5 linked regions of the Canis lupus familiaris genome follow. The protein of the gene in region 1 purifies or fractionates together with the protein of each later gene. This does not show direct contact. Links are inferred from orthologs where the notes say so. Each region holds a gene or a part of one and is shown in the gene's direction. Other genes may lie near its edges.

The links.
Region 2: the proteins of AGO3 (region 1) and TNRC6C purify together in Homo sapiens (affinity purification with mass spectrometry; 3 studies listed by BioGRID and IntAct, with this or other methods). This does not show direct contact. The link is inferred for Canis lupus familiaris from reciprocal best matches to the Homo sapiens genes AGO3 and TNRC6C.
Region 3: the proteins of AGO3 (region 1) and TNRC6B purify together in Homo sapiens (affinity purification with mass spectrometry; 6 studies listed by BioGRID and IntAct, with this or other methods). This does not show direct contact. The link is inferred for Canis lupus familiaris from reciprocal best matches to the Homo sapiens genes AGO3 and TNRC6B.
Region 4: the proteins of AGO3 (region 1) and DICER1 purify together in Homo sapiens (affinity purification with mass spectrometry; 3 studies listed by BioGRID and IntAct, with this or other methods). This does not show direct contact. The link is inferred for Canis lupus familiaris from reciprocal best matches to the Homo sapiens genes AGO3 and DICER1.
Region 5: the proteins of AGO3 (region 1) and TNRC6A purify together in Homo sapiens (affinity purification with mass spectrometry; 7 studies listed by BioGRID and IntAct, with this or other methods). This does not show direct contact. The link is inferred for Canis lupus familiaris from reciprocal best matches to the Homo sapiens genes AGO3 and TNRC6A.

What each region holds. Positions count from the first base shown.
Region 1 is NC_049236.1:6,321,704-6,328,312, reverse strand, and holds the start of AGO3 (protein argonaute-3), read left to right. Parts: upstream 1-3,080; 5' UTR 3,081-3,194; coding exon 3,195-3,213; intron 3,214-6,609.
Region 2 is NC_049230.1:3,927,031-3,932,855, reverse strand, and holds the end of TNRC6C (trinucleotide repeat-containing gene 6C protein), read left to right. Parts: coding exon 1-132; intron 133-960; coding exon 961-1,031; intron 1,032-1,614; coding exon 1,615-1,754; intron 1,755-5,287; coding exon 5,288-5,648; downstream 5,649-5,825. UniProt on the Homo sapiens protein: Plays a role in RNA-mediated gene silencing by micro-RNAs (miRNAs). Required for miRNA-dependent translational repression of complementary mRNAs by argonaute family proteins.
Region 3 is NC_049231.1:25,844,510-25,850,334, reverse strand, and holds part of TNRC6B (trinucleotide repeat-containing gene 6B protein), read left to right. Parts: intron 1-1,673; coding exon 1,674-1,748; intron 1,749-2,618; coding exon 2,619-2,664; intron 2,665-3,935; coding exon 3,936-4,084; intron 4,085-5,305; coding exon 5,306-5,476; intron 5,477-5,825.
Region 4 is NC_049229.1:64,297,861-64,302,941, reverse strand, and holds the end of DICER1 (endoribonuclease Dicer), read left to right. Parts: intron 1-2,196; coding exon 2,197-2,359; intron 2,360-2,449; coding exon 2,450-2,525; intron 2,526-2,880; coding exon 2,881-3,046; downstream 3,047-5,081. UniProt on the Homo sapiens protein: Double-stranded RNA (dsRNA) endoribonuclease playing a central role in short dsRNA-mediated post-transcriptional gene silencing.
Region 5 is NC_049227.1:21,485,940-21,491,651, reverse strand, and holds the end of TNRC6A (trinucleotide repeat-containing gene 6A protein), read left to right. Parts: coding exon of another isoform or gene 1-34; exon of another isoform or gene 35-217; intron 218-223; exon of another isoform or gene 224-350; intron 351-531; coding exon 532-671; intron 672-1,156; coding exon 1,157-1,532; 3' UTR 1,533-4,064; downstream 4,065-5,712.

The sequences.
Region 1 (6,609 bases):
CAGCAGTGTCTTTTCTACTTGGGTACTTTGGCTTTTAGAGATGAGTACAAGGTTCAGAGTGACTTTTTTGGAATCACATACAGCAGCAGAGGGCCTTCAATCTCAGCTTTGTCCCTAAGGCCAATGTGTTTTATATCGTGTTCTGCTGCAGTACAGAATAACTCTCTCTCTGCTATGTAAAAACCGATGGTCTGGGAGAAGAGATTTGAACTCCAGTCAAGTTGACTACTTCAACACAAGTTTAAGAGAGGATTCTATCCAGCTGCTCTCATCATCCAGTTGTGATGTTTACCTAGCACAGGAAGCCTAGGAATGCAACTTCAGAGGGCACTGATTTCCTTGTCCCTCAAAGGTCTGTACTATTTTATAGTTCTCCCTTCGGAAAGCAACCAGTGTCACAAGGGATGAGGACAGAGTTTTTAGCCTGCTTCTCAAGCCCTGTTCTTGAAGCCCAGTCATCCATCCATCCATCCCACAGCCAGGCATTGGCACTGTTCTAGACCCTGGGGCTATGGCAGTTAACAAGATACACAAAGACCCTGCTCTATGGCCTTGAAAGCCAACTTATTTGGGAATGAGGTTGGCCATAAATAGGGTGGTCCAGGGAGAGCCTCATGCAATTTGCTTTTGGCAGAATCATTAGACCTTTCGCCTTCCCACTTCTTGATATTGCAATTAATGTACCTTTCACCTGGGCTCCTTCTATGATGAAGTGATGGTGTCCCTGAATAGCAGAAGTAGATGGGAAGGCCTCATTGACATTAAACTGAATTAGGAGATCCAAGTCCTCCTCCATCAAGGTCAACAAGACAGTGACCTTCCTCAGCGGTTCATCACCATGTTTATATTCTGGGAGATGACAAGCGTGCAGTCACTTAGGGAATCAGTTCCAGAATGGGAGGTTGAGGGTGTGATAGACCCTTGCACAAGTGTTGGTATTTACCCTGTTGGATGCTGCTACTGATTTGGATTCTGGATAGTCAGGCATTGAAAGTAACTTTTAGGATACAGTGTTTCATCTGGTAACAATTTGATACTTTGAACTCCATGTATTCTGTAAAAACGGTTAAGAGGGATCCCTGGGTGGCACAGCGGTTTGGCACCTGCCTTTGGCCCAGGGCGTGATCCTGGAGACCCGGGATCGAATCCCACATCAGGCTCCCGGTGCATGGAGCCTGCTTCTCCCTCTGCCTGTGTCTCTGCCTCCTCTCTCTCTCTGTGACTATCATAAATAAATAAAAATTAAAACAAAAAAAAACGGTTAAGGGTAGGAAGAAGGCGGAATTGAAGTCAAGACAGAAGAGGGTTTGAATCCCATCCATTTAGGAAACATTTACTGTAAAGTAGGTGCATCTAATAAGTGCTTTAAAATGTTATCGATAGCAAACTTTCTCTTCACTAACTTTTAGTTAGGCTTTGCTCTGGTTTGTGTACGTTCCCTAACCTCACAGCAGTTATGTAAGGTACGTTATTCTCTCCATTTCTCAGATAAGAAAACAAACCCAGAGGCTCAAGCAACTGACCCAAAGTCCCTCCGTGACTGGGGGGGACTGAAGATACTTCTCCTTTTTTCTCTTTGTCCCAAACTTTAAAAAAACAAAAAGCATTTTGATTTTTAAAGGTCTAAATTACATTACTGATGTTTAGGGACCCAGGCAAAAATCACGAATCTCTAATCTGAATAGCATCACCTTTCATTAAGGCAACATATTAAGGACCTACTGTTCCTAGTGAGTGTGCTGGCCGCGGTAAGCTAGTGCTTAGAAGCCTGTGCGGGGTAGGGGGTAGGGGGCACACAAACTAAAGTAAAACTACAGGTTGGGAGGATTCTTAGGGAAATGCTGTAATAGAAGAACGCCCCCTCCCCCCATTAGTGATCAAGAAAAGACCTCTCTGAAATAAGGCTGCGGTATAAGAAGGTTCTGGGGCACGGAAGGGAAGAAGGGAAGCTGAGGGGGGAGGGAAAGGAGAGGCTCTGTTCCTGGCCTAGGGAACCGAGCCGAGGGGCGCCACGTGGGAAAGGAAGAGGCTTGCCCACAGCGGGGACGGGGAGCGGACGGCGTAGCTGCAGCCTAGTGGTCTCGCTTGGAAGGAAGGGTCGGCGCGCGCGGCGCGCTTTGGCCCCGCAAGAGTCGATCTCGGCGTGCCGGGACGCTATTAAAGCGTTTTAAACGAGGACATTATCCGATGTGGTGTTTATCTTGTTCCTTTTTTTTTTTTTTAATTTTTTTTTAAATTTATGATAGTCACAGAGAGAGAGAGAGAGAGAGGGAGAAGCAGGCTCCATGCACCGGGAGCCCGACGTGGGGTTCGATCCCGGGTCTCCAGGATCGCGCCCTGGGCCAAAGGCAGGCGCCAAACCGCTGCGCCACCCAGGGATCCTTAAAGTCTTGTTCCTTTTTTTTTTTTTTTTTTTTTTAAAGTCTTGTTCCTTAATACTCCTTTCCCGTGCTAAGTTGTACGGCCCTCCCCACCGCCAGGGTCGTCGCCCCCGGACTTGGGAGTGATCCTATAGTGGTCGCTTGACCGCTTTCGGAGGGGGCGGGGCAGGGGGGGGCTCGGCCGGGGCGGGGCGCGGGGGGGGGGTGCTCCGCCGGGGCGGGGGTTGCTGGGGCGGGGCGGGGGGGTGCGCTGTGCCTCAGCCGGCGGCAGGCCCGGGCCCGGCGCTCCCGAGCGGCCGCGCTGCAGGTAGGCTCCCGCCCAGGTAAGCGCCACTGCCTCGGGAAGGCTCCGCCCGGCGCGGGGTAGCGCCGACTGCGGCTCCCCAGGGTCGTCTCCGGCCGGCACGCCCCGCCCAGGCCCGGCCCCGGCCCCGCCCCCGCCCCTCCCCGCGGCCCGCAGCGACGTCGCAGCCGCACGGCTCGGGGCGGAGGGCGCGGCGGGGGCGGCGGAAGTGACGGCAGCGGGCTTCCGGGGGCGGCCCCCGGCGAGGTCGGCGGCGGCGCCGCAGTCGTGGAGGGGCCGCGGGAGCGGACGCGGCGGCGGGCGGCGCGCCTTCCCACGGGGCTGTCCCGGCCGCCTCCCGCTTCGCCCTCCGCCCGCCGGGTCGCGCGCTGCCTCCCCGCGGCGGCCGTCCCCGAGGAGCGCTCATCGCCGCCCGCCGGCAGGCCCGGCGTCCGCGTCGCCCCTGCGCTGCCTCCGCGCCCCCAGCGGCGGGCGCCCTTCTCGGCCGAAGCACCCCCCCAGCTCCATGAATGGAAATCGGCTCCGCAGGTGAGCGAGCCGCGGCTGCCGGGCGGGCGGGGCGGGAGGAGCCCCGGAGCCCCGGAGCGCGCGGTCGTCCCCCTCCCCGCCCCCTCCGTCCCCGCGCAGCCCCGCCGCGGGTCCCGGGCCCGGAGGACGCGAAGCTGCGCGGAGGGCGGGACGGCGGGGGGCGCCGCTGGCAGCGTCGTGCTTCGGGGTCCTCCCGCGAGCAGGCGGGCTTCGGCGTCGCCTTCGCTGCTCGGGCGGCCGGCGTGCGGGGTGCGCGTCCCGCGGAGCCGCGGGGCAGCGGGAGCCCGGGGCGGACCCGGCCGAGGGCGAGGTCACGGCCCGGCCGCAGCTCCTTCCGGCAGCCGCCTCCGGCCCCCGGGCCCGCATCCCGCTCCCGCGGCGACGTGGATCCGCGAGCTGCTGCTCGGACTCCCTCCGCCTTCCCTGGTCCCCGGAGAAGACTCTCCTATTCCGGGAGTTCTGGAAATTAAAACAACCTGCTCTCTCTCCTCTTGGGAAAACGGCAGTTTTTGAGAAAATCTGCAACATGGGCAGTACTTGCCTTGGGGGAAAATAAATAAATAAATAAATAAATAAATAAATAAATAAATAAATAAATAAGCAAGCACTTTTTTTACGATTCTAAAGTAACTAGGAGACACAAAGTAGCTGTTACATAATGACCTGCTTCCCAAAAAATCATACTTATAACGTGGTAGATTTGGAAGTACGCTTCATCCAGACGGTAACACATAAGTTGATTTTTGGAATATTGAGGTGGGGACGGGCTGTCTCGTTGCTGATGGAGATCTCAAGTTCCTGAATTTCACGTGTCGTTTTGCTAGTCTGGGAGGTATTTGAATATAAGAAAAAGTTAAGTGATAAAGGAGATCGGTGACCTAAAGATAATGAGGGGTTTCGTTGATTAAGTTAAGAAGTGTAATTGTCAAAAAAAAAAAAAAAAAAGAAGTGTAATTGTCATTAGATGCAAACAGCGCTCAATTTGTAGCGGGGAGGGGGGGCGGGAATGGGGCGAGGAGATTATTGCAAGGTTTACATGAAATTTTTTCTAATCAGTTTCTTCTGTTTCTCTTTTGCATTCTTTTTTCTGTCATCTTCATATTTTCTTTAAAAGGGATACTTTATAGATTGTGAAGTTTTATTAATTTTTTTCTTAAAGTTACTTTTTTTTTTTTAAGATTTTATTTATTTATTCATGAGACACAGAGAGAGGCAGAGACACGGGCAGAGGGAGATGCAGGCTCCACGCAGGGAGCCCGATGGGGGACTCGATCCTGGGACTCCAGGATCACGCCCTGGTCCAAAGGCAGGTGCTAAACTGCTGAGCCACCCAGGGATCCCCGAGCTTGTGAAGTTTTAGATTTTCATTTGTTTATCATTGATTTGTATATTTCTGAAACTGTGCCCTGCCTTTGTCTTTTAGTTGTGTACCATACTTTTGAGTGAATAGGATGATCTAGGGCTATAGGTGACTTTTACATAACTGTCCTGTTATCAGGCCTGGAAAGCAAAACATGAAAATTAAACACTTTATTAATTACCCTAAGACTTTTAAAGATAGTTCAAAAAAATTTTTAAGTGTTTTTCACCTTTGGGTTTTTTGTATGAAATTATGGCCCAATGTATGGACAACATCCTCAAAAATATTTCTGAAGTCCAGTCGCCTGGCCAACTGGTCCAACTAGCCAAGTGTGATTCAGTAAACACTCCAGTGAGTTCTTGAGCTATAGATAAGTCTTACGTCTTCTTTTTGCATGTGCCATTGCTGAAATATATACACATTTAACTATCTTCACATCTGGGGAGGTAGAATTAGATAATATCGACCGTATGCTTAGACCTCTTGAAACTCAAAGTTTGCTCTTCAATGCAGTTCATACATGATTAATCTAATAATGGAGATAAAGTATAATATGGCTCAGAATTGTCATCATCAAAAACAAAGTTTCCATTCTTCCTGGGTCTTATGTGTAATTGTTAATGCTGCACGTGTAACTGAAAGCATAGTTGGGTAAAATACACAACTAAGTTTTAAATCAAGAGTTTGAGAGGTAAAGAGGGGGGGTGCCTGCCTGGTTCAGTCTTTGGAGCGTGAGGCTTTTGATTTCAGGGTTGTGAGTTGGAGCCCCATGTTGGATGTGGAGATTACTTAAAAATAAAACATAAAAAAAATAGGTCCATATTTAGGTTTAAAATATTTTAGACATGGGGGTGCCTGGTTGGCTCATTGGTAGAGCCTGTGACTTTTGAACTCAGTTCTGAGTTTGAACCCCACTTTGGGTGCAGAGATTTCTTAAAAACATCTTCTTAGACATAAATGTTTTGATAGTCTATTGAGTAAATGTTGGATCTTTGCTCCAATTTGGTTCTAAGGTTTTGGTTTGTGTGTGGAAAGTCTTAGGTATTACCTTATGACAGGCTATTTTAAATACTAGTTCTTAGGAAGATAAATAGGAAACTTACATTTATTTACATGGGGGGACTTGGACTTTGGATACAAATGCTATGTTAATTGTTTCTGGGTGAATCATTACTAAAAATGAATATTTGTCCATTTTTGCATGTAATATTTTAAGTGATTTTTTAGGGTGTCCTGTTCATTGTACTGATTTAGAACTGGGTGAACTGGGCAGCCCTGGTGGCTTAGTGGTTTAGAGCCGCCTTCAGCCCAGGGTGTGATCCTGGAGATCCAAGATCGAGTCCCATGTCAGGCTCCTTGCATGGAGCCTGCTTCTCCCTCTGCCTGTGTCTCTGCCTCTCTCTCTGTCTCTAATAAATAAATAAAATCTTAAAAAAAAAAAAAAAAAAGAACTGCGTAAACTTTAACCAGAAAAGCTAGCACAATTGGTTTTTAAATATAACAATAGTTTTTCATCTGTGCCTGTGACTCTTTAGTTAGGAAAACTTCTTTTTTTTTTTTTTTAATTTTTATTTATTTATGATAGTCACAGAGAGAGAGAGAGAAAGAGAGAGGCAGAGGGAGAAGCAGGCTCCATGCACCGGGAGCCCGACATGGGACTCGATCCCGGGTCTCCAGGATCGCGCCCTGGGCCAAAGGCAGGCGCCAAACCGCTGCGCCACCCAGGGATCCCCTAGTTAGGAAAACTTCTAATGAAATTCTGGTTGTTTTTTTTTATAGTTTAGTTACAATTGGACTAAAAGTATTTGTTTTAATTCCAAATAAAGTGTGAATGGAAGCTGCAGAAACATTCATTAGGATATCACTTCTCCTTTGTAGCAGGGTTTTAGGACCTATTCTATAGGTATTTTTAGGTGTAGTTAGACTACTGTTTAAGGGAGAAGGAATTGTACTTACCTGCCAAGGAAGAAAAACATTTGCTTTTACTTGAAATTAATGATGTGCAAAGTGGTTTGATAACCTTTGGTCGCAGTCTT
Region 2 (5,825 bases), on another chromosome or scaffold:
TATCTCATGAACTGTGGAAGGTGCCCAGAAACACTACTGCACCCACAAGGCCGCCTCCAGGGCTAAGCAATCCCAAGCCTTCCTCCACCTGGGGAGCCAGCCCCCTCGGCTGGACCAGCTCCTACTCCTCGGGTACGCAAATGGGGCAGGTTGGAGGGGCACGGGGGCTCGGGGCCTGCTCGGTTTGCCCTTTAGGGATGAGTATGCCTGTTATCTTGTCCTCTTGCTGCTCTGTAAGGACGGCTGTCCCCACCCCTAGAACCCAGGAGGGCCTAGGACAGGCCAAGGCACTCTGCACTGTCAGGGCAGCCATCTGCGCAGCGCTCCAGCTGCCATGGTTTTCACCTCCATCCTGGGCTCCAGTGTGTCCTGAGGCAAGCGGTCCTGGCAGTCACAGCACCCCTCCAGGGGCCACGCTGAGCCCTTGGAGGAGGTACATTCAGCCAGCACAAAGGGCTCAATTGCCACTTTGGTATTTACTTCTCCACAACATTTCACTGGAGCAAGGGGCTTTCCAGGCCAGGAACAAAACCAGGCCTCCAGTGTGAACTGGCTACTGCATCCCAGGGCTGCCGTTCTGCTGGCCTCCATCAGCACCCTCCCCCAAGCTGCAGGCGTGGAAGACATGTGCTGGGAACTTAAGCTGAGTTTGAAACCAGTTGCAAATAATTTGAAAATTGCCGTCGCCTGTAATAGTCCTGTGGGTCTGCTGTATTAGCACCCAGCATTCAGAGCATTGATTCTAAGGGGCGTGGGGGCAGAGGAGGAGACGGGACCCCCAGGGGCTCACCTCAGCAGGAATTGTGGTTTTGGGTTCACCAAACCAAAAAGATAACATGGGTTTTCAAAGGTTGAGAAAGACTTAGAGCTAGCAGTGGCAGTCTGGGTCTGTGCTACCGTACATGTTAGCAAGAAGCCTCTGGTGGCCGTGCTGACCAGGCTCTCCCTTGGCTCATGCAGGTTCCGCATGGAGCACCGACACCTCAGGACGGACAAGCAGCTGGCTCGTTCTCCGCAACCTCACGCCCCAGGTACAGGCACCTGCCGAGGGGGTCACCAAGCAGGCAGGTTCCCACTGCCCCCCATGCATGCTGGCCTCCGTGCAGGGGGCCCTCACGGGGTCCCAAAGGTGGTGTGGGCAGCCACAGGCAGACAGGCCTGTGTTCCTGGCAGATTGTTTACGTTTTACTCTTTTGAGGCTTAAAGAGTCTACCTTTTAGACAGAGTCACTTGCCTTTAATTATACCCACTGAAGACTCATTTGTCCTGCACTCCCCTTTCCCGGGGTCTGGGGCTGTGGGGCTGCCAGGAACCAGGGGCTCTGTGTGATGTATCCCAGCTGGCTGGGTGGGGAGGCCACAACCAAAATGGGGTCTTTACTTTCTCCTCATTTTTGGAATTCACGAAATATAACTGAAACATCCAGTATTAAAAAGTACATGGTAAATGACAAGGCATAAATGGTTAAAATCATAAAGTCCTCCACACTAAGCCGTTTGAAAGACGGACAATTTCCCAGTGTTTAGTACACCAGGGTCATATACGTTTTCTTTAAGAATGTCGTGGAAGAAGTCCCAGGAAGCTCGTTACCGCCCCCTTTGCTTCCTCAATCAGATCGATGGCTCTACCCTGCGGACACTGTGTTTGCAGCACGGGCCTCTCGTCACATTCCACCTGAACCTGACTCAAGGCAACGCCGTGGTCCGCTACAGCTCCAAGGAGGAGGCCGCCAAGGCCCAGAAGTCCCTGCACATGTACGTCTCTTGGCCGCTACTCGGCTGCCCCATGGCCTAGCATGTCCTGGCAGCACTAAGTTCTGGTGTCATGTGTGCTCCAGGGGCTGCTGTGAGAAAGCACCACAGGCAACAGACATTGCCTCTCAATTCTGGAGGGTGTCAGCAGGGGCAGTTCCTTCTAGGGCTCCTCTCCTGGGCCTGCAGACAGCTGCCCTCTTCCTGTGTCCTCACATGGTTGCCTCTTTGATGTGTGTGTGTCCTAACTCCCCCTTCTTAGAAAGACACACATCATAGTGGGTCAGGGTCCACCCTGATGAGCATCTTTTCTTTCCATTACCTGTGTAAAGAGCTACCTCCAAATATAGGCACAGCTGAAGTGCTGGGGGCTAGAGCTCCCATGTGGGGACTCGGGGGTCATGATCCATGCCGCAGCAGGTATCTCATGACGCATCTCTCTTCTGCTGTGGAGTTGTCGCGGCCACGCCCCCCACTAGGGAGAGGTCCCCAAAAGCATGCACATTGAGTGCAGTGACAGAAGGAAGACGCTCTCTCCACCAGGTAGCACCAGGCATGTGACCCATCTTCCAGCCACCTCCCCCCACTGATTACAGGATGCCCTTGGTAAGATGTGTGAGTGGATGTACTCAGCGACAGCACTGAAGCAGTGGGATTGCTGAATCACACGGTGGTTCCATTTTTAATTCTCTGAGGAACTTCAGGAGTAGCTGAACTAATTCCTTATTCCCACCACCAGTGCACAAGGGTCCTCTTTTCTGCACATCCTCACCAACACTTGTTATATTTGTCTGTTTGAGTCTAGCCATTCTAACAAGTGTGAAGTGATTATCTCGTTGGGTTTTGATTTGTATTTCCCTGATGATCAGCAGTGTTGAGTATCTTTTCATATACCTGTTGGCTGTTTGTATGTCTTCTTTGGAAAAATGTCCAGTTCTTCTGCTCATCTTTTAATCAAGTTGTTTGGGCTTTTTTCGTTGTTATTGAGCTACATGATTCTCTATATATTTTAGATATTAACCACACCAAATAAATGGTTTGTGAATATTTTTTCATTCCGTAGGTTGTCTTTTCATTATATTGACAGTTTCCTTTGCTGTGTAGAAGAGCTTTAGTTTGATGTAGTCCTACTTGTTGATTTTTCTTCTTTTGTTACTTGTGCTTTTATTTATTTTTTAATTTTTATTTATTCAAGTAATCTCTATGCACAGCATGGGACTCCACTCACAACTGCAAGATCAAGAGTCACACACTAGGGGCATCTGGGTGGCTCAGTCAGCTAAGCATCTGCCCTCAGATCATGATCCCGGGGTCCTGGGATGGAGCCACACATCAGGCTCCCTGCTCAGCGGGGAGTCTGCTTCTCCTGCTCCCTCTGCCCTTCTTCTCCCTGCTGCTAATGCTCCCTCTCTCTGTCTCTCTCAAATAAATAAATAAAATCTTAAAAAAAAAAAAAAAAGAGTCCCATGCTCTTCCAGCTGAGCCAGACAGGCAGGCTTTTAGTGTCTTATCAAAAAAGCATTGCCAAGACCAATCAATGTCAAGGAGCTTTTTCCCTATTTTCTTCCAGGAGTTTTATGGTTCCAGATCTTACATTTAGGTCTTTAACCCATGTCGAGGTAACTTTTCTGAGTGGTGTGAGACAGGCGTCCACTTGTCATTAGTCTGCACACGTTTCTCCAGGTTTTCTGGCAGATTTGTTAAAGGAACTGTCCTCCACTGAGTGCTCTTGCTTCCTTTGTCAAATATAAATCAGTGTCTACATGGGGATCTATTTCTGGGCTCTATTCTGCTCCACTGGTCTATGTGTCTGGGGTTCTTTTGCCAGTACCATACTGTTTTGAATACTATAGCTTTGTATTACAGTTTGAAATCAGCAAGTTTGATGCCTCCTGCTTTGTTCTTTCTCAGAATTGCCAGGGCTATTTGGAGTCTTTTATGGTTCCCTACCCATTTCTATAAAGAACCCATTAGAATTTTTATAAAGATTGCATGGAACCTACAGATGGCTTTGAGTTGTCTGGATAGCCTTCCATTTGTATCTTCTTCAATTTTTTTATAAAGATTTTATTTATTTATTCATGAGAGACACGGGCAAAGGGAGAAGCAGGCTCCATGCAGGGAGCCCATGGGCACTCAATCCCGGGACCCTGGGATCACGACCTGAGCCAAAGGCAGTTGCTCAACTGCTAAGCCACCCAGGTGCCCCTTCTTCAATTTTTCATTAAAGTCTTTCAGGTTTCATTGTTTGGTCAAATTTATCCCTAAGTATTTTTTTTTAAATATCCCTAAGTATTTTTTTGTTTTTTGATGCTGTCATGAATGAGATTTTTTTTCTTTATTTTTCAGTTATTTCATTGTTAGTACATAGAAACGTAGCTGTTTTACGTATGTCCATTTCATATGCTGCAACTTTACTGAATTCATTGCTTACCTCTAACAGTGTTTTTGGTTGAGTCTTTAGGATTTTCTCTATATAAGATCATGTCTTCTGCAGATAGTGACAATTTTACTTCTTCCTTTCTGATTTGGATGCCTTTCATTTATTTGTCATGCCTGATCCCTCTGGCTCAGATTTCCAGGACTGTGTGGAATGGAGGTGACAAAAGCAGGCATCCTTGTCTTGTTCCTGACCTTAGAGAAAATGCCTTTAGCCTCTCACCAATTGAGTATGATGTTAGCTTGTGTGTGTCATATACGGATGGCCTTTGTGGCACAGAGGCCTGTTTCTTCTGTCCCCCACTTGTGGAGGGTCTTTATCATGAAAGGTCATTGTGTTTTGTCAAATGCTATTTCTACATCTAATGAGACAACAGGACTTGAGTCTTTCACCCCATTGGTGTGTTGTGTCATACTTAGTGATTTGCATATGTTGAACCATCCTGTATCTCAGGAATAGTTAGATACCACATCATCGTGAATGTGTAACCCTTTATATGTGCTGTTAAATTCACTTTGCTAATAGTTTGTTGAGAATGTTTACATCTGTGTTCATCAGGGATATTGATCTGTAAGTTGTCTTGTGTCCTGATCTAGCTTTGGTATCAGGATAACATAGGCCTCATAAAATGTGTTTGGGAGTGTTCCTTCCTCTTCAGTGTTTTGAAAGAGTTCAAGAAGGATTGATGTTAATTCTCTTTTAAATGTTTGGTAGAATTCACCAGTGAAACTCTGTGGTCCAGGGCTTTTCTGTGCTGGTAGGTTTTTGGTCAGTGATTCAGTCTCCTTAATCATTATTCATCTGTTTAGATTTTCTCTTTCTTCATGGTTTGGTCTTGGTAGTTATCTGTTTCTAGGGATTTGTCCATTTCTTCTAGGTTGTCCAATTTGTTGGTATAGAATTGTTCCTAGGAGTCTCTCCGGATGCTGTGTTTCTGTGGTATCAGCTGTCATGTCTCCTCTTTCAGTTCTGATCTTACTTATTTGAGTCTTCTCTGGTTTTTTTTTTTCTTAGTCAAACTGAAGCGCCATCAAATTTATCTTTCAAAAAAAAAAAAAAAACAGCTCTCAATTTTGTTGCCATCCTGCTCTTTTAGGTGTGTTCTGGGAAACACTACCATCTTGGCCGAGTTTGCCAGCGAAGAAGAGGTGAATCGTTTCTTAGCCCAAGGCCAAGCACTGCCGCCCACCTCCAGCTGGCAGTCCAGTACCGGGACCGGCCAGACGCGGCTGGGCGCCTCGGGCGGCTCCCACGGTCTGGTGCGGAGCGACCCTGGCCATTGGAGCGCCCCATGTCTGGCAGGCAAAGGGAGCAGCGACCTGCTGTGGGGCGGGGTCCCCCAGTACTCCAGCAGCCTGTGGGGCCCGCCCAGCAGTGACGACGGCAGGGTGATCGGAAGCCCCACCCCATTGAACACTCTGCTGCCTGGCGACCTCCTCAGTGGGGAATCCATCTAGCACCGACAGGACCCCCATGGGCGCCACAATCATCAGCACCAGGAAGAAAAAGCTGCCCCTTTCCAGTCCGGGTGGCGCGGAGGACCCCGCTGGACCTGAGCAGCCCGGCAGCCCTTTGAGTACCTCTGTCCAGACTGAAGACGAGCCCTGGCCGCAGTCCTTGCGAACTGTTCCCGA
Region 3 (5,825 bases), on another chromosome or scaffold:
CACGCTGGGTATGGAGCCTACTTAATTAAAAAAAAAAAAAGGAATTAAGTTGTCATTTTCCATGTCTTAGAGCAACGCCGTTTCTCCTTTGATTTGCATAATTTGATGAGGACTTTGGTTTCAGTCTAGAACAAGTCTTTGAACCTGAACCGTTCTCCCAGCAGAGGCATTCTTTCCCTTCTGCAGAGAAATTGATGAAAATTAGAAATAGGCAGTCATATATTTAATTTCAACATGGGAGCCTTGCTGCCCCATGAAACACTTCACAGTGAATATTGTCCTGGTTTCAAATACCAAGTACTGTCCTGGAAGGTCTTCAGTCAGCTAAGGGGGTTATGCCTTTATCCCCTTTGCTGTAGGATATTAATGTTGTTCTGCATACGGTAACTTGATAGCCTAAACACATAGGTTGTTTATCTTGGAGGCATCCTGTTTAAGCAGCTAGTTACAATTTCCCTTCTAAGGATTGCTTTGCCTCCCCCTAGTCACAGATGGAATTAATCCGTAAAATTCTCAGTATCTTTGTACTCGCCTGTTATCTGGCTTGTTGTGGCTTTTTTTGTCATTTACAAATTCCCAACAAGACAGAAAAAAAGACAGTTGAGGAATACTGCTGATTGACAGAAGTGAGTGAAGGAAAGGTGCTGGCCCACTCAGGTGGCCCTGAGACATAACTGATTCAGCTCAGTTGAAATTTGGCATTTCTGCTCCACAACTGACAATTCTGACCTTTTGTGTCCAAGGGCCTTTTTTTTTTAACTGATTGTGATCAAAGACAGATAATGTAAAATTTACCATTGTAACCATTTTTAAGTGCACAGGCAGTTCAGTAGTGGTGATTATATTCACGCTATTGTGCAACCATCGCCACATCTAGCCACAAAACTTTTCATCTGCAAAACTGAAACTGTTTGTATTAAACAAAAACTACCAATTCTACCCTCCCTACAGTGAGGGCTTTTTTGACCTTAAAACCTGTGACTGAACTTAAGTGAACTTATTCACTTTGAAGAATAGTAAAATCAACATAACAAATATCAAAACAGTTTTTATTTGTAGAATGTACAAGTAAGCAAAGCCCCATCACCCCATCCCCACCAACTCCTCATCATTGTTCCACCTACCTTCTCCATAGAAGTAAAAGTGGAGCTGGTGTTGGATGTCCTATTCTGGGGAGAAACTAGTTTGTCCCTTAAGAAACAAAAACTCAGGGGCTCCTGGCTGGCTCAGTTGGTTAAGCATCTGCCTTTGGTTCAGGTCATGATCTTGGGATCGTGGGATTGAGCCTCGTGTAGTGCTCCCTGCTCAGCAAGGAGTCTGCTTCTCCCCCTCTCTCTCCCCTACTTGTGCGTGTGCGCGCTCTCTCGCTCTCTCTCTCAAATTAATAAATAAAATCTTAAAACAAAATAAAACAAAACACCAGCTAACCATGTATTTTTCCAGTTCTAACTCAGTGTGACGAATCAAATAAGAATGAAAATATAGATAGAACTAAAGCTTATTACTCTTTCAGACTAATGGATAAAATATCAAAATAACCACAGTTAAAGAGGGAAATTTGGGCTCAGAAAGGTAAACTGTTGGTTCTGCATTTTCAATCAGTACATAAATCTAACTGATAAGAAGTGAGATAAAATAATTTGGTTCTGAGGTTATGTATTTCATTTCTGTAGTGCTCACTGAAAGGAGGAAACAATGATTCATGGATGAATCCTCTTGCCAAACAGTTTTCAAATATGGGATTGCTGGTAAGTTTCATTTTCTTTTATGTGTAATACAGCCCAGCTTTTACTTTTAGTACAAATGTGAAGACCGCTGCCACTAGAGTACAACATTACAGATTTAGAAACTGGTTAAACAGTGTTTCTGATTTGGATTTAGCAGTATTTGTCCTCTATTCTTTTATTCTTAATGAAATACTCCAATATTTAAAGGCTATGGCTTTTGAATTTGTAGTCCTTGTGTCCTTTTCCTTAAGTGGTTAGGGGCAGAAAGAGCCAGGCCTTAAAACTTACGTAACGTTCCCTGACTAATACTGTACCAGTTTTCATATTACAGTTTTGAAAATAGCAGCAACAATAAAATAAGTAGGGGAACTATTTGTAATTAATTATATAGGGAATTCTTGTAGGATTTCTCTCTCTCTCTCTGTCTCTCTCTCTCTCTCTTTAAATCTCTCGGGAACATTGTGGGACACCCCATCCCTAGTTGCCAAAAGACAGATAGCTTGACTTGGCTGCACATTTCCAGATTTGATGACTGGACAAGTCACGAGAAGAGGTTGTCATCATTTGGCTGACACTCGTGGAATTTGATCCTGAGCCGACTGGAACTTATTTCTCTAAGCAGCTATTTAGCTATTGCTCTGTCCATAGAGTTACTGAAGCTAATTCTATGTGAAAATTGAATGTGGGAATATGGACACCGTAGGCAATAAAATTAGTCACATCATCAGTGATCTTGTCTTCATTCCAGTATAAGGTTTATGTCAAAGGACCATGTAGAGTACCAATAGTACGCCACAACTCTCACGTAAATAATGCCATTTTTTTATCTCTCTCATACAGATGTTGCAAATTCAAACCTTTAATCCTCCCTCCCTGTTGCTTCTTTTTCAGAGTCAAACTGAAGATAATCCAGGCAGCAAAATGGATTTGTCTGTAGGTGTGTATCACTCTACTAATATGAATGGGTATATTGTGATTAATGATGTTATATTGAAAAAAAAAATGATGTTATATTGGATCCCTGCTCAGCTTGAGTTGGGATGGGTGCCATTCAGCAGACATAAAGGACCATCCTGGACACTAGGGATTGAAAACTCAAATAGTTGCGGGATCCAGGAAAGTAACAAAATGAGTGTCATGTACCAGGTATAAGAAATTGGGAGTTGAAGGCCACTGGTTAGCTGTCGGGGGAATATGTACCATCTCCAGGATAAAGGAATCAGCCTTGCTCTGGCCTTAACAGTTGTTGCCATGGAGAGTAAGGGTTCAGCTTTGTCAGAGCTTCCAGTTGGCGAGCGAGGCCAGAAATTCAGACATAAATTGACATCCTGATTCTTAAATATTGGAAACTAATTCAGATTTTAAAAACTAGTGTGTGGCCAAAGTATGTCTGTGGCCCTGCCAGACTCTGTTCTCAGGTTGGTAGTCCTGTCTGCACTGGAATGTTTCATTATTGATGAGTTCTCCCACCCTAAGTGGAGCAGTTGCCATGTTAGCCCCTAGTCTGTGGGATCGTCACCATGATGCTATTGCTCACCTTGAGGAACTTAAAAAGAATCAAACCAAGGAAAAAGGAAAATAGTCCTAGGTCATAAGGGAGATAGTCTGATCTATGATATTTTAAAATCTAAGAGTGACGAAAAAATGAGTTTCCAGGGGCACTGATCATGTCAGTATATAATAGCAAATTTCCAGAGCTGTGAAGAAAAGGAGTAGTAGTCATGGTACTTGGGAAATCTCTTGTTCACTTAATGTGCCCAACTCTAAGTTTTAAATTCTAGGGCAACAGCTATGCCTCTTAGGCCTTTTTATTCTCAATAACTGTGTCACAACCCCACCCATTTATCTAGCAGATGCTAAAACAACAGCAGGAGACAAACTCTCTCACGAAGTGCATTTGATTTTATGAGTGAGTTATAGTCATCAAACATGTCAATAACCAGTGGAACTATTTTTTTAGTCAGATTTTTACCAGGTTGGCCCTAAATCTCTCTTTCAATCTTCCATTGAAAACAAGCTACAACTGACACAAGTTTTTTAAGAAGGAACAAAAGGATCCACACGTGCCCCTGGGGGCCTGAACCAAGAGGATCCCTCATGGTCTTATGCCCAGCACCTCAGGGAGAAGAATGGGACCGGTACCCCCCCCACCCCCATCATGAGGGAGATATTTGTTCTTGAAATTTTCACTTCTGTGTTACTTTTCAGGGAGCCTTCCAGATAAAAAATTTGACGTGGACAAGCGAGCAATGAATCTCGGGGATTTTAATGATATCATGAGGAAGGATCGATCTGGGTTCCGTCCACCTAATTCCAAAGACATGGGAACCACAGATAGTGGGCCTTATTTCGAGAAGGTGAGTCAAATCCTTTAAGATAATTCATGCGAACCACTTTGGTTCCCATTTGTTCTTTTGATAATTGATTCCAGGAGGAAGCACAGAGTCACTGAATTAATTAATGAGCAAAACATAAACATCACCTGCATTTAAGTGTTGACATGAAAACAGTTGATGTCAACAGGTGACTAGGCAGAAGCTAGAACCATCTGTCTGTAGTATGTGAGTATTATGAAGAAGGTCTGAGTTTTTAGAAATTTTATGAAGTTTGGAAGGGGGAAATAAATGGTCTGACTTTTTATAGTGGGAATGCGAAATGTGTGGAAGAAATTTTAGAGACCAATTTATTCTGCTGTACAGTGAGAAATTAAATTTGGGATATCGTGCAGATAATTCGTATCTCCTAAGGCCTTCCCTTCTAGCTTTGTTAAGATGTTCCAGAACGTTCTCTTTTGATATTTCTAAGAGAGTTCCTTTGTTCTTTCTCCATTTCTCTAGTGACCTATTGTGAGTTATAATGGTATACTGTTCAAATTCTCAACCTGATTTAAAGAAGTCATGAATACCTATTTGTTTTTGATTCTTGTCTTTCCAATTGGAGGAAATAATTCCTTGATTCAGAATACTGATTTGTCATGGCCCTGGTCTTCAGAAAGCAATAAAAACCAAAAGTTTGGGCAGCCTGGGTGGCTCAGCGGTTTAGCTCCGCCTTCAGCCCAGGGCGTGATCTTGGAGTCCCAGGATTGAGTCCTACGTCAGGCTCTCTGCATGGAGCCTGCTTCTCCCTCTGCCTGTGTCTCCCATGAATAAATAAATAAAATCTAAAAAAAAAAAAAAAAAAAAAAAAAAAAAGTTTTTGATCTGGCAAATTTTTGACGTTATTGATAATGCTGTTTCAGGCAGCAACAGATTCATAAGATTACTCTGGCTTTTGTTTCAGCAGCCACATAGAGTAATCAATATTAGATGCATAAAAATTCAGAGTCTGGCAATTTTTATCTTAGTGCAATGGACAGAATGTGTTACTTAGAGGATAAGAAAAAATCCATATCAGAGGTGACAGATGGTGTCTGTTGGGCCAAGTGTGATGACTCTGATCAGATCCAAATTCCATCCTCGTTTATTGCTAATACACTCTAACTCTGTTTGTTCCTAGTGTTTCTCTCTTGTCCCTTCTTGCATTCTGTTGCTTCACTAACCAACACTCATTGTGATTGGCTAACTCCTACTACTTTTCAGCTGACTTTGCCTTTCTCCAATCAAGATGGGTGCCTTGGGGATGAGGCTCCCTGCTCTCCCTTCTCCCCTTCTCCCAGCTACAAGCTGTCTCCCTCTGGTTCCACACTACCCAACGTCAGCCTTGGAGCAATCGGCACAGGGCTCAACCCCCAAAACTTCGCTGCTAGACAAGTAAGGAGGCCTCTCAAATTTATAACTGCTTGACTGTGGCCTTGCCTTGGCCCTGGTCTGCAGTTCATTGCATCATTTGTCTGTCTTGGGAAATTTGTTGATTACTGAATGCACAGAATGATACTAAGTATAGGCTTTAGATCTCTCAGCCCGTAGAACCCATCTCTCTTCATATTTTCTCAACATGGATTTTATTTTAAATTTGTTTCTTTCGTCTTCTCATTTTTGGTCCTAATTTCACATTTAAGAAGTTAACTAATAAACTGGCTTAGGAAAATGTTAAGGAGGCTACATAGGTACCTTACGTCATCTAACTTAGCAACGGATTTGCCATTCTTGACATTAGATT
Region 4 (5,081 bases), on another chromosome or scaffold:
TTGTTCTGCCTTTCTTTCTGTTAAAATGGGGCAGAAAACATTCGCTGGTACTGTCTCAGGTAAGCCTCACAAATGTATGGTCTGCTTCGACTTGAAAATAGGAAAATCTCTTTTAAAAACCCACCTTCTAAAATCTTAACCATTGGAATTTGAGAGGCTTCTGTTGTAAGTTCAGCCAAAGGTTCTTTGGTGATGGAGCTAATTTTAATGTGTTTGTGAGCTATTTGGAAGTGTTGTAGCAAGAATTTCACTTAGATCTTTCCACTCTCCTCTGATGCTTCGCTGCCATCCGTCTGCATACCTGTGTACCCAGGAGAGCACTCCCAGGTCCGCTTCTCCCCATTCCGATCCCTTTGTTTTCCTTACTTTTGGAGATTTCTTACTAGGAGTCGGAATTTATTCATAATTCTAGTGGCTGTTTTAATTGCTCTGGTTACTTTTATACCTTCCCTTTTTATGATCACACCAAACTGTGGCTGGAGACTAGTGCATTTCCTTGACTTGCTGTGAGAGAGATTTGAAGTATAGCCTCAAGGCGAAGTGTCCTACCCTGTAAACAATGCAGAACCTGTGCTGAGGGAGAACCCACTCTGCCCCGTGTGTACTCCTCCAAGGTTAATGGTCCGAGGTGGAGCACAGCTACCAGTGGGACTAGGAATGAGAACCATCTCGTGTACTTAGGATTATTTCTCGTCTCATTCTTTAGAAATGTTTAAGCTAAGAATTTGAGGAATTAGCTAAAATTAGTTTTAAGTTCTCTTTTGATGGCAGTGGGACATGGTGACTCTGTTCATTTTTGTTCATTCTTTTCCTTTGTGTAAACATAGGTATTAGAAGTTACAAAAACTGATTGGAAATGTCAGTGGTCTGGCTTTTCTAACTTACTGTCGGATCTTAAGCAAGTCTCTCCACTTCTCTGGGCCTCAGTTTCTTCATCCATGAAAGGAGAGAATTAAATTCGATAAGTTTTAAAATTCCTTTCTACCTCAAAACTGTGATGTATGACCAATGTCTTTTTTTCTCAGCTGCCAGCATTATAAGTGGTTTATATAGAGTTCTGTGTGGCTAAACAATCCATTTAGAAATTAAAAAAAACAAAAAAAACAAAAAACAAGTGCCCCCTTCTCTTTCTTTTTTCTTTCTTTCACAAGTAAATAGTATTTTAGAAAATACAAATAAGCAAAAAGAAATACTAAAGTTATGCAAATATACTACCTTAGAAATAACCAAATGAACATTCTGTGATTTTTTTTTTTGCTAATGTATATAAACATAAGCATACCTAAAACATAAGATGGAATTATATTATGCATAGTATACATAACCTGTTCTTTTCACTTCATATTTTGAGGACCATTTTCCGTGTATCCATTGGCATTATGACTTTCAGTGGCTGCTCACTAGTCAGTTTATGGCTATAATGAAACATATTTAAACAGTCCTTTGTGGCTAGATATTTAAGTTCTTTTTATTTCGGGTTTTTAGTAAACATGGGTGTGGTGACTATATCCAATACTTCCTTAAGATAAATTCCTAGGGATGGGATTACTGCATCAACGAGTTAGGAAATTTTAAAAAGACATTTGATAACATACCTAAGTTTTTTATTACATTAATTTGAATACTGTGTATCAGTCCTCTCTTAATAGTGAATGCGTATTAAGGGGTTTAATAAAAAGGGAACTCAGTGGAATCTATCTTCTAGTAGAATTTCTCAGTCATAAAGTGACAGTTTATACTTGCCGAAGCAGTTTGTACACCCTTGTCACTGCTGTACTAGTTAGTATTCAGCCTAATGCCTGCGGAGCCGCTAGGGGGTAGAACTGTTTAAAGATACAGTTCTTTGATTACGAGTGAATTTGAACTTTGCTTAATACATTTATTAACTATTTCTAATTTTGTGTTGTTTCTGTTTTCATTTAGAAGTACTCTTTTTTCCCTTCACTGAGAATAGAATCATACTAAATTGGGAAGAGTTTTTTTATCCCTTGAGAAGTTGGAAAAAAAATTTTTTTCTAGATAAGATGTTTGCAAAGAACTTACTACAATGTACTAGGTGGTTGCTATAAATGGTTGGTATTGTTACCCTTGTTAAAGGTATAATAAAAGTCCTATCCAAGAAAAGATACATACTGCTGTGGAATGCCTTTTAAGATGGCCTTGTTCCTTACAAATCACTTTTCTCTGTGTAAATAGCTTAGGAGGTCTGAGGAGGATGAAGAGAAAGAAGAGGACATTGAAGTTCCAAAGGCCATGGGGGACATTTTTGAGTCGCTTGCTGGTGCCATTTACATGGATAGTGGGATGTCACTGGAGATGGTTTGGCAGGTGTACTATCCTATGATGCGGCCGCTGATAGGTACTGTGTGCTCCCTTTGAAAGAAACAAAATCATAATTAAAAACAACTATAAGGATATTATTCACATTGCTCTTTCATTTTGATTACAGAAAAATTTTCTGCAAACGTGCCCCGTTCCCCTGTGCGAGAATTGCTTGAAATGGAACCAGAAACTGCCAAATTTAGGTAAGCAAAACTGTGCATGGAAAAAATTAAGTTACTTAAAAACAAGAGTTGGAAGAGTTGTCAAAGATGCCATCAACTAATGATACGGAGAAGTATTTATACTGGGGCATGCACTATGTACTCTCCGTTTATAGTCTGATTGACTTTTCCTTTCGCTTTTATAAAGTAATGCTGGGTTAAAGAGGAAAACTCAGCCCGGTCTGCTGGCGTCCGCGCCACCGTGTAATGCACGTTTCCTTTGTGTGCCGTCAGCTCATACCCGGGCCCTCCACCTCAGAGCGCGTGCCCAGTGCTGATTGACAATAATAATAAATAGTTCTGACTTCTGATTCCAGCTGTTTGGCTTTTTTTACAGCCCGGCTGAGAGGACGTATGACGGCAAGGTCAGAGTCACGGTGGAAGTGGTAGGGAAGGGGAAATTTAAAGGCGTCGGCCGGAGCTACAGGATCGCCAAGTCTGCAGCAGCAAGAAGAGCCCTACGCAGCCTCAAAGCCAATCAACCTCAGGTTCCCAACAGCTGAAACCCCTTTTTAAAACAAAACAAAACAAAACAAAAAAACATAAAGCAGAATTAAGGGGGAAAACTATTTAAATTGAGAAGGATGATTTAAAGTCCACAGTGAGCGGAATGAATCGAAGGCAAAATTTAAAGTTTGTTTGATAACGAGATAGATTACAGAATAAAACATTTAACATATGTATAAAAATTTTGGAACTAATTGTAGTTTTAGTTTTTTGCGCAAACACAATCTTGTCTTCTTTCCTCACTTCTGCTTTGTTTAAAATCACAAGAGTGCTTTAATGATGACATTTAGCAAGTGTTCAAATAATGATTGACAGTTATTTTTTGTTTTGGGGTTTTGTTTTTTTAGTTTAATTTCCGTCAGCTTTGCATAGCGCCAGGAGGCCAAGGAGCTTACAGCTGAGACAGCCCCTAGGTTCTGCGAGCGCCCTCCCCTCTTCTTCGTGGGCGCTGGCACCTGTCTGGCCTTGGCGGGTGCGCCCAGGAGAATGGTGCGGTTGGCCGGGGGAGAAAATGCCTGTGCTGTCTTTTCTTTCTACATTCTGTCATGTAAGATGTTGTCTCCCGGTCGTCATTGCACTTAATATAGTAAGGGACAGGTGGGTTTTTTTTGTTTGTTGTTTTTGTTTTTTGTTTTTTTTTTAGGGACAGGTTTTTAATGAACATTGGCTGGCATGTTGGTGAATCAAATTTTCGTTTTCTCATGCCACATAGTCCTACATACAAAAGGTTCTTGCCTTAAAAGTGAAACCCTCATGGACGTTCTTTAATTTCTGATCTTTTTGGAACAAACTGTTTTACATTCCCTTCATTTTATTATGCATTGAGATGTTGAGACAGCGTGATGTTTGCAACTCACTAGTGTAGTTGTGACTTAACTTATTACAGGATTATATTAGAGTTTCTGTCATACGTGTCCTGAAGGCATTTTGAAAACCAGAATATTATATATGTAGTCTATGGGTTTTTTTAAGCACCATAATAAAAATAATCTCTGGTTAAATACCTGATTTTACTAAAAACCTCCTGCTAGGTAGTTCCACTGATGGAAATTGTTTGTGGCAAACAGTTTTGCCCTGGAGGCTGTTGCTCTAACAAGATAAACTCTAGACATATCACACCTAAAATATGCTGCAGATTTTATAATTGACTGGTTACTTATTTAAAGAAGCAAAACAGAGCACCTTTACCCTTAGTCTTCTCACTTAAATGTCTTACTATACTTGTCCCAGTGTCGTGTGCATTCTTCACCTACCAAAGCTGTGCTGTTAATGCCATGGGAGTGTAACGTTTGCGATAAACTGCCGTAATTTTGATACATCTGTGATTTAGGTCATTAATTTAGGAAAACAAGCTCATGATTTCCATCTTTGGAAAAGAAAAAAAAGACATTTTTAGGCATTTGCCGAAGTTTCTTTAATTAGACTTGTAGGCACTCTTCACTTAAATACCTCAGTTCTTCTTTTCTTTTGCATGCATTTCCCTCCTGTTTGGTGCTATGTTTTATGTATTATGCTTGAAATTTTAATTTTTTTTTTTTGCACTGTAACTATAATACCTCTTAATTTACCTTTTTAAAAGCTGTGGGTCGGTCTTGCGCTCCCACCAACACACCAGTAGAGGTTTGCTGCAATTTGCCCCATTAATTATGCTTGAAGTCGAAGAAAGCTGAGCAGAGGTGTCTAATGTTTTCCAGCACATCGTTCTTTACTTGATGCTTCATATAATGCTGCATTTTTTGTTTTACATTACAGTGGAATACTGTACTTCTTGCTTTATCTGCACCACTCACCCCCAGAGAAACACCTCTGCATGTGTGCATGGAGAGAGCTGTCCGCTGCTTTTTCTAAGGAGACCTGAGTGAAGGGGATGTTAAGCTTCTCCAACGTTATTTGTTGTCTCCAGTCTTAAATTTAAATTGCAATCTAAATTATTAAAAGAGTTTTTGAGCAAATTAATTTGGGTAGACTCATTTTTAAAATACTTGTTTCTGATTGGAAACCTTAGATTTTTTTTTTTTTTTTTTTTTTTTC
Region 5 (5,712 bases), on another chromosome or scaffold:
AAATAGATCCCCAGTCTGGCTCCAGAGCCTCTGATGGAGCAGATCCGGGCTAAGATCGGGGTCTGCACCCTCCTGAAGGCACTCAGATCATTGTGATGCAGGCGGTCCTGGTACTGCTCTTGAGAAACCCTGGTCTGCTCTTCTGGATGGGAACATCTCCTTAGGCCCCGGACCACCCCTCCTCTGGAGGCTGGATGTTAAGAGCCCGCCCCTCCTCTCCCAGGGAGCAGTGCCTTGATGAATCCTGTCCTCAGGGCAGGGAAGAGAGAAGACATGAAGCCACAGCAGGGGCATGGCTAACTAAGGAAGTGGGGATCTGGGGAATGTCCAGGAGTCTAGAGGCCACAGAGGTATGGCTCTGGGACCAGTGGAGGTGGGGAGGGGGGCACCGTACCCCATCCCGGCAGTGAGCCCCAGTGAAGAATGGCAGCAGGAGTGAAGAACCTCGGGCAGGAAAGAGAGGACGATGTCCCCTGATGGTCCTCGTGGCAGCTCATCTAACTGGCGGCCCCCTCATGCTCTGTTTCCTAGATTGACGGCTCAACTCTGCGTACTCTGTGCATGCAGCATGGCCCACTGATAACATTCCACCTGAACCTCCCACATGGAAATGCTTTGGTCCGTTACAGTTCAAAAGAAGAGGTAGTGAAGGCACAAAAGTCTCTGCACATGTAAGTTGGCCATCCGGTGTGTGACACCTGGAAAATGCCCTCCTGATGAGTAGAGTGTGGGGTTCCCTTGTGTATGGAAGGACAGCTGGTGGCACTGTGTGTCCTCTCCGGGCCAGCGCGTGGGGTCCCGCGGTGAAAGGGCATTGTAAGGCAGCGACCTCGCCTCTATCTTGGGTTCCAAGGTCAGTACTCCTAAGGTGAAGCATCGCCCCTCAAACCGGCCTTAGGAAATCTCTTAAATCACCTTTAAATCACCTATAGGAGGCAAAAGGCCTTAATCTAGCTGGATACCACCACCATACACGCGGGGCAGGTTTTGCTCCGGGCCCTGGAGAGCCCTGCAGTGGGCGTGTCACCACCACCCCACCCCCCACCATCCTCCTCGCCTTTTGAGCAGAAGCTGAGTGCTCCTCTCACTTCGAATCAGTGAGATCTTCCAGATCCCCTGAGTCTTCACCGCACCCCCCTGTGTCTCTTCCCTCCAGGTGTGTATTGGGGAACACTACTATTCTTGCTGAGTTTGCCAGTGAAGAGGAGATCAGCCGTTTCTTTGCACAAAGTCAGTCTCTGACCCCTTCTCCCGGCTGGCAGTCTCTCGGGTCCAGCCAGAGCCGGCTGGGCTCCCTCGACTGTTCCCACTCGTTCTCCAGCCGGACCGATCTCAATCACTGGAATGGTGCTGGGCTGTCGGGAACTAACTGTGGAGACCTTCACGGCACTTCACTCTGGGGGACCCCACATTATTCCACAAGCCTGTGGGGTCCTCCCAGCAGCAGCGACCCCCGGGGAATTAGCAGCCCATCCCCCATTAATGCTTTTCTTTCTGTTGACCACCTGGGTGGGGGTGGAGAGTCCATGTAACGTGTAGATGTAGACTCACGAACTGTGACCTCAAGAAGCGAAAGAAAGGAGCACTAAGTTGGGCTCGCCGCCTGCAGCCAGGGGCCACCTGTGGGAACAGCTCTTCTCTGCACATTTTCCACTTTGTTTTCCCTGAAACATATCAGTTTGAATACTTGAATCATGCAGGCCAATATTATAATGTGAAAAGGTATCTATCTATTTACACTCCCAAATAGCGCCATACATGCTAAACCGTATAGAATGAGCTCACTTGTGTATATTCATCATGTTTAGCCTTTGGGTTCTTTTTTTCACCACCACCCTCCCTTCCCTGTTTCCCTCCACATCCCTCCCTCCCTGTTTTCCTTCCTCTCTTTCTTCTTTCTTTCTTTCTCTCTCTCTCTTTTTTTTTTTTTTTTGCAAAACCATTTTTTTGGGCTGATAATGTATGAGCTTTTAACTTTGCACTGAATGATGTTCTCTCGTCTAATCGGCAATATGGGGGGGCAGCTGTTCCAGTGTAAATGTTTACTCAAGGATGTTCTTAAAGGTGTGCGCTCTCTACTATGCCTTGATGTTTGCCTACCTTACTGTGGTGTCGTGGAGTTTAAAAGACCGAGTTCTGATGCTGACTTAGGACTATAAATGAAAGTATTGCACCAGTGTTTTCATGTTATAAAACTAAAGAATTTCGCTCTGCAGTTTGAAAAACTGTGGCCACAGCTGTGACTTGCAGCCCCCCTGCCACCCAGGACGGGCCCTGCACTTTGAATAGGCTTTCCATTTTGTTTTGAAGGTTCCCACGGTGAACCTTCTTGTTTACAGATTTTTTTGTTTGTTTTTTGAGAAAAAAAAAAATGTTTACTCTTCCATCATTTAAAAAAAATTTAAAAGACAAAAAAAAAAAAAAAAAAAACAATGGAGGATGATTTACAAGATGCTTTCTATCTCTGGGAAAAAGGAGCAGCATTTGGCCATGTTCTTTTGTTTTCTATTCCTGTCCTAAATCCAAGAGCATGGTTCTCAGGAAAACCAGTTCCCCAGTTAGGAAAAAAAATTTAAAAAATAAAAAAATAAAAAAAATAACTCCTTGTAGTTTCTTATAGGAAAAACAAAACCCCAACTTTTAGCACTGATACTACATATTGCTCTGTTAAAGAATTTTCTCTGCCAAAAAACAAAACAAAACAAAAAAAAAAACAAAAAAAAAAACAAAAAAAAACAAAAACAAAAAATCGCTTAAAGCTGGAGTTGACATTCTGCTTTCAGATGCTGTCTTTTTATTAGTGAGTGATGATGGTTTGCTAATAATAGGTGATAATTTTTTGTAACCCCATCAAGTGGCTCTCTCTGTTTCTGCTCTCTTGTGACTGTGTTAATGTTGAACTGTTGTACCTTAAAGCCGAAATCAGTAACTATGCATACTGTAGCCAAGGTATTGGGCTTACAGAATTGTTCATTGTATAAAGAAAATTTTAAATGTTGTTGCAAACTAACGAGTTACACCATTTTTAAACTTACTTTCTCCTCGCCCCCTTTTTTTGCCCACAAATGGTATTATAATGCTTGCTTAGTCAAAGAAGACGGGCCAAACAAGGGTAAACATTTTAACAGCGCAGAATTTGCCATCATTTCATTGCCTTGATCTAACTGTTTGTGTCCTAAGATGCAAAAGAAGTCAGTGGCTTTTAACTGTTTACAAATAGAATGTGATTGTAAAATGTACAGTTTGGTTGTGTTTGAATTATGAAATCCCTTCCGATATAATAAACCATGACTTTTTGGCTGCTCAACATTAATTGTCTCTTTTTTGTGAATTTCTTTGTACGCTCTTTTTTACAATGAACGTTTCAACGTTGCTGTATATGAGGGTCCTCATAGAGCAACCGAGTACAAATCTAAGCAAATATTTGAACATTCTATCCGAACTTCTCCACAATTTCACCCTGAAATAATGTGAGAACAATGGGAAACTGTAGCTTGCTCCTTCCTACCCTCTCTGAGCATCTTTGGGATCTTGTTGCTCAAAGCTCTCCTGTGACTTCATCTCCCCCACCATTTGTGCCCATCTCAAGCCTCAGCAAGAGACCATTTGGAACATGAAGCTTAATGACTTGCCAGTGTTCTAGTGTTAAACTCTCATACCTCTGTTACAAATGAGAAATGCCACAACCTGGACTGGCCTTCCTCCCCCCTTCACGGCCCTCTCCTGACCGCGGGAGCTCTGGGGCAAAACCTGTGTGTGTATTCCAGTGTATGACTTCAAATCATGCTCCGGCTTGCCAGGTGTGAGCTAATGTCGGACACCTTCCTACAAGCAAATGTTGTTCAATGCATTCAATGTATATTGACTTCCATACTGGTTTTTCCAAAAACCAAAGGTAGCTTTGAAAAACCACGTTTGGAAATGTTTGGAACGTTAAGCTGATTGACCTTTTGGGGCTTTGAGTAGTATATAATTGAATTCATAACTGCGTTAATTGTATTGTTAAAAGTGTTTGGGAGTTTTTTGCGCTTGTTATGTGGAAATAAAGTGTTTGATTTAAAAAATTTAACAAGTGGTTTTGGTTTTTGCCTAGTCCTTAAATCATTACAACTCTTCCCCAAGCGACGTGTCACTCAGTCTATCATAACCTCTCAGCTACTCGGGCCCCAGGTCCAGGCCCTAGTTCTGATCTTGACCTGCGCCTGGCCAAATGGCCTCGAGTCACTGGCGGCCTGCAGGGGGCGGTCTAAGCACTTTAACACATCAGGTTATGCATTATTCCCGAGGATGGCTCACAGTGGAGTGTGGCTCCTGCGTCCCTGGACGAGTGCTTGGGCTGTGTGCGGGGCTTGGGGCATCCGGAGCTGCCCTGCATCGCTACCTGGCTTGGCTTACACCCCTGCTCGCTGTCCCTGCAAGAGCAGGCACCTCCACCCCCACCCACCCACACCATTCCCGCTTGCAACAGCAGATTTGTCATCCCCCCTCCAGTCGGTATGTTGAGGCACTGGGCCAGGCCACCGCTGGTGACTGAGCTCTTGCTCACCTGGAGAAGCCATGTGCTCAGACACCTAGTAGGTGCTGAATAAATACTGAAAGGAAGGGCGCTTGGGTGGCTCAATCAGTTAAGTGTCTACCTTTGGCTCAGGTCATACCAAGGGTCCTGGGATCGAGATCCACCTTGGGGTCCCTGCTTAGCGGAGAACCTGCTCTTGTTCTCCCTCTGCTCTTCCCATCCCCCTTCATTTATTCTCGCTCTCTAATAAATAAAATACTGGAAGGAATAACAACACCCTGTTGACATTTGAGAACCAAAAATTCTGGTAGTGCCACTTCTTGAACTGGGTGCACCTGGGGGAATCGAAGTTCTTGACAGGTGAGGGGTCAAATCCAAGTCAAAGGGCATGGAGAGAATAGCGTGAAGACCAAGAATTAGGATGAAGCAGATGTTTGGATCAACAACAAATGAAGGTCGCACTAAGCAAATTAGCCCACTGTTGGGTTAAACGGCCATTCCAAGCATTGGAGCATTGGTCTTCCCCCTTCTCCAGAGCTTAGATCATTTCCGGCAGAGCCTTTGATTTCAGATGCAGGCAGTGGGGTCACCGAGCCAGAGCCAGAATCACAACCCCAGTGAGCTTTGGGGGTCCCATCCAGACACCCAGCCTCTGGACCTGGCAGGACTTCCTCTGAGCAGGCATGTACAAGGTCGTGGGGAAGGAGGAATGATGGAGGAATGATGGTGATGGTAAGTCCAGGGTCCTGCACATACCGGGTGCTTCGAGCTCATTTTCTCCTTTGACCTTCAGAGCCCCCAGCCTGGCCCTAGAACAGGAGACCGTCCTAGCACAGTGGCTCTCAGATTGCCCACCAACACACCCCTAAAGGTGTTTTGTTTTGTTTTTTTAAGATTTTATTTATTCATGAATGAGAGGGAAGCAAAAACATAGGCAGAGGGGAGAAAGCAGGCTCCCTGCGGGGAACCTGAGGTGGGACTTGGTCCCAGGACTGTGGGATCGTGGCCTGAGCTGAAGGCAGACGCTCAACTACTGATCCACCCAGGCATCCCCACACCCCTAAAGTTTTGGGGGGGGGTTGTTTTTTGAAGATTTTATTTATTCATGAGAGACACACAGAGAGAGGCAGAGACACAGGTAGAGGGAGAAGCAGGCTCCCTGCAGGGATCCCAACATGGGACTGGATCCCAGGTCT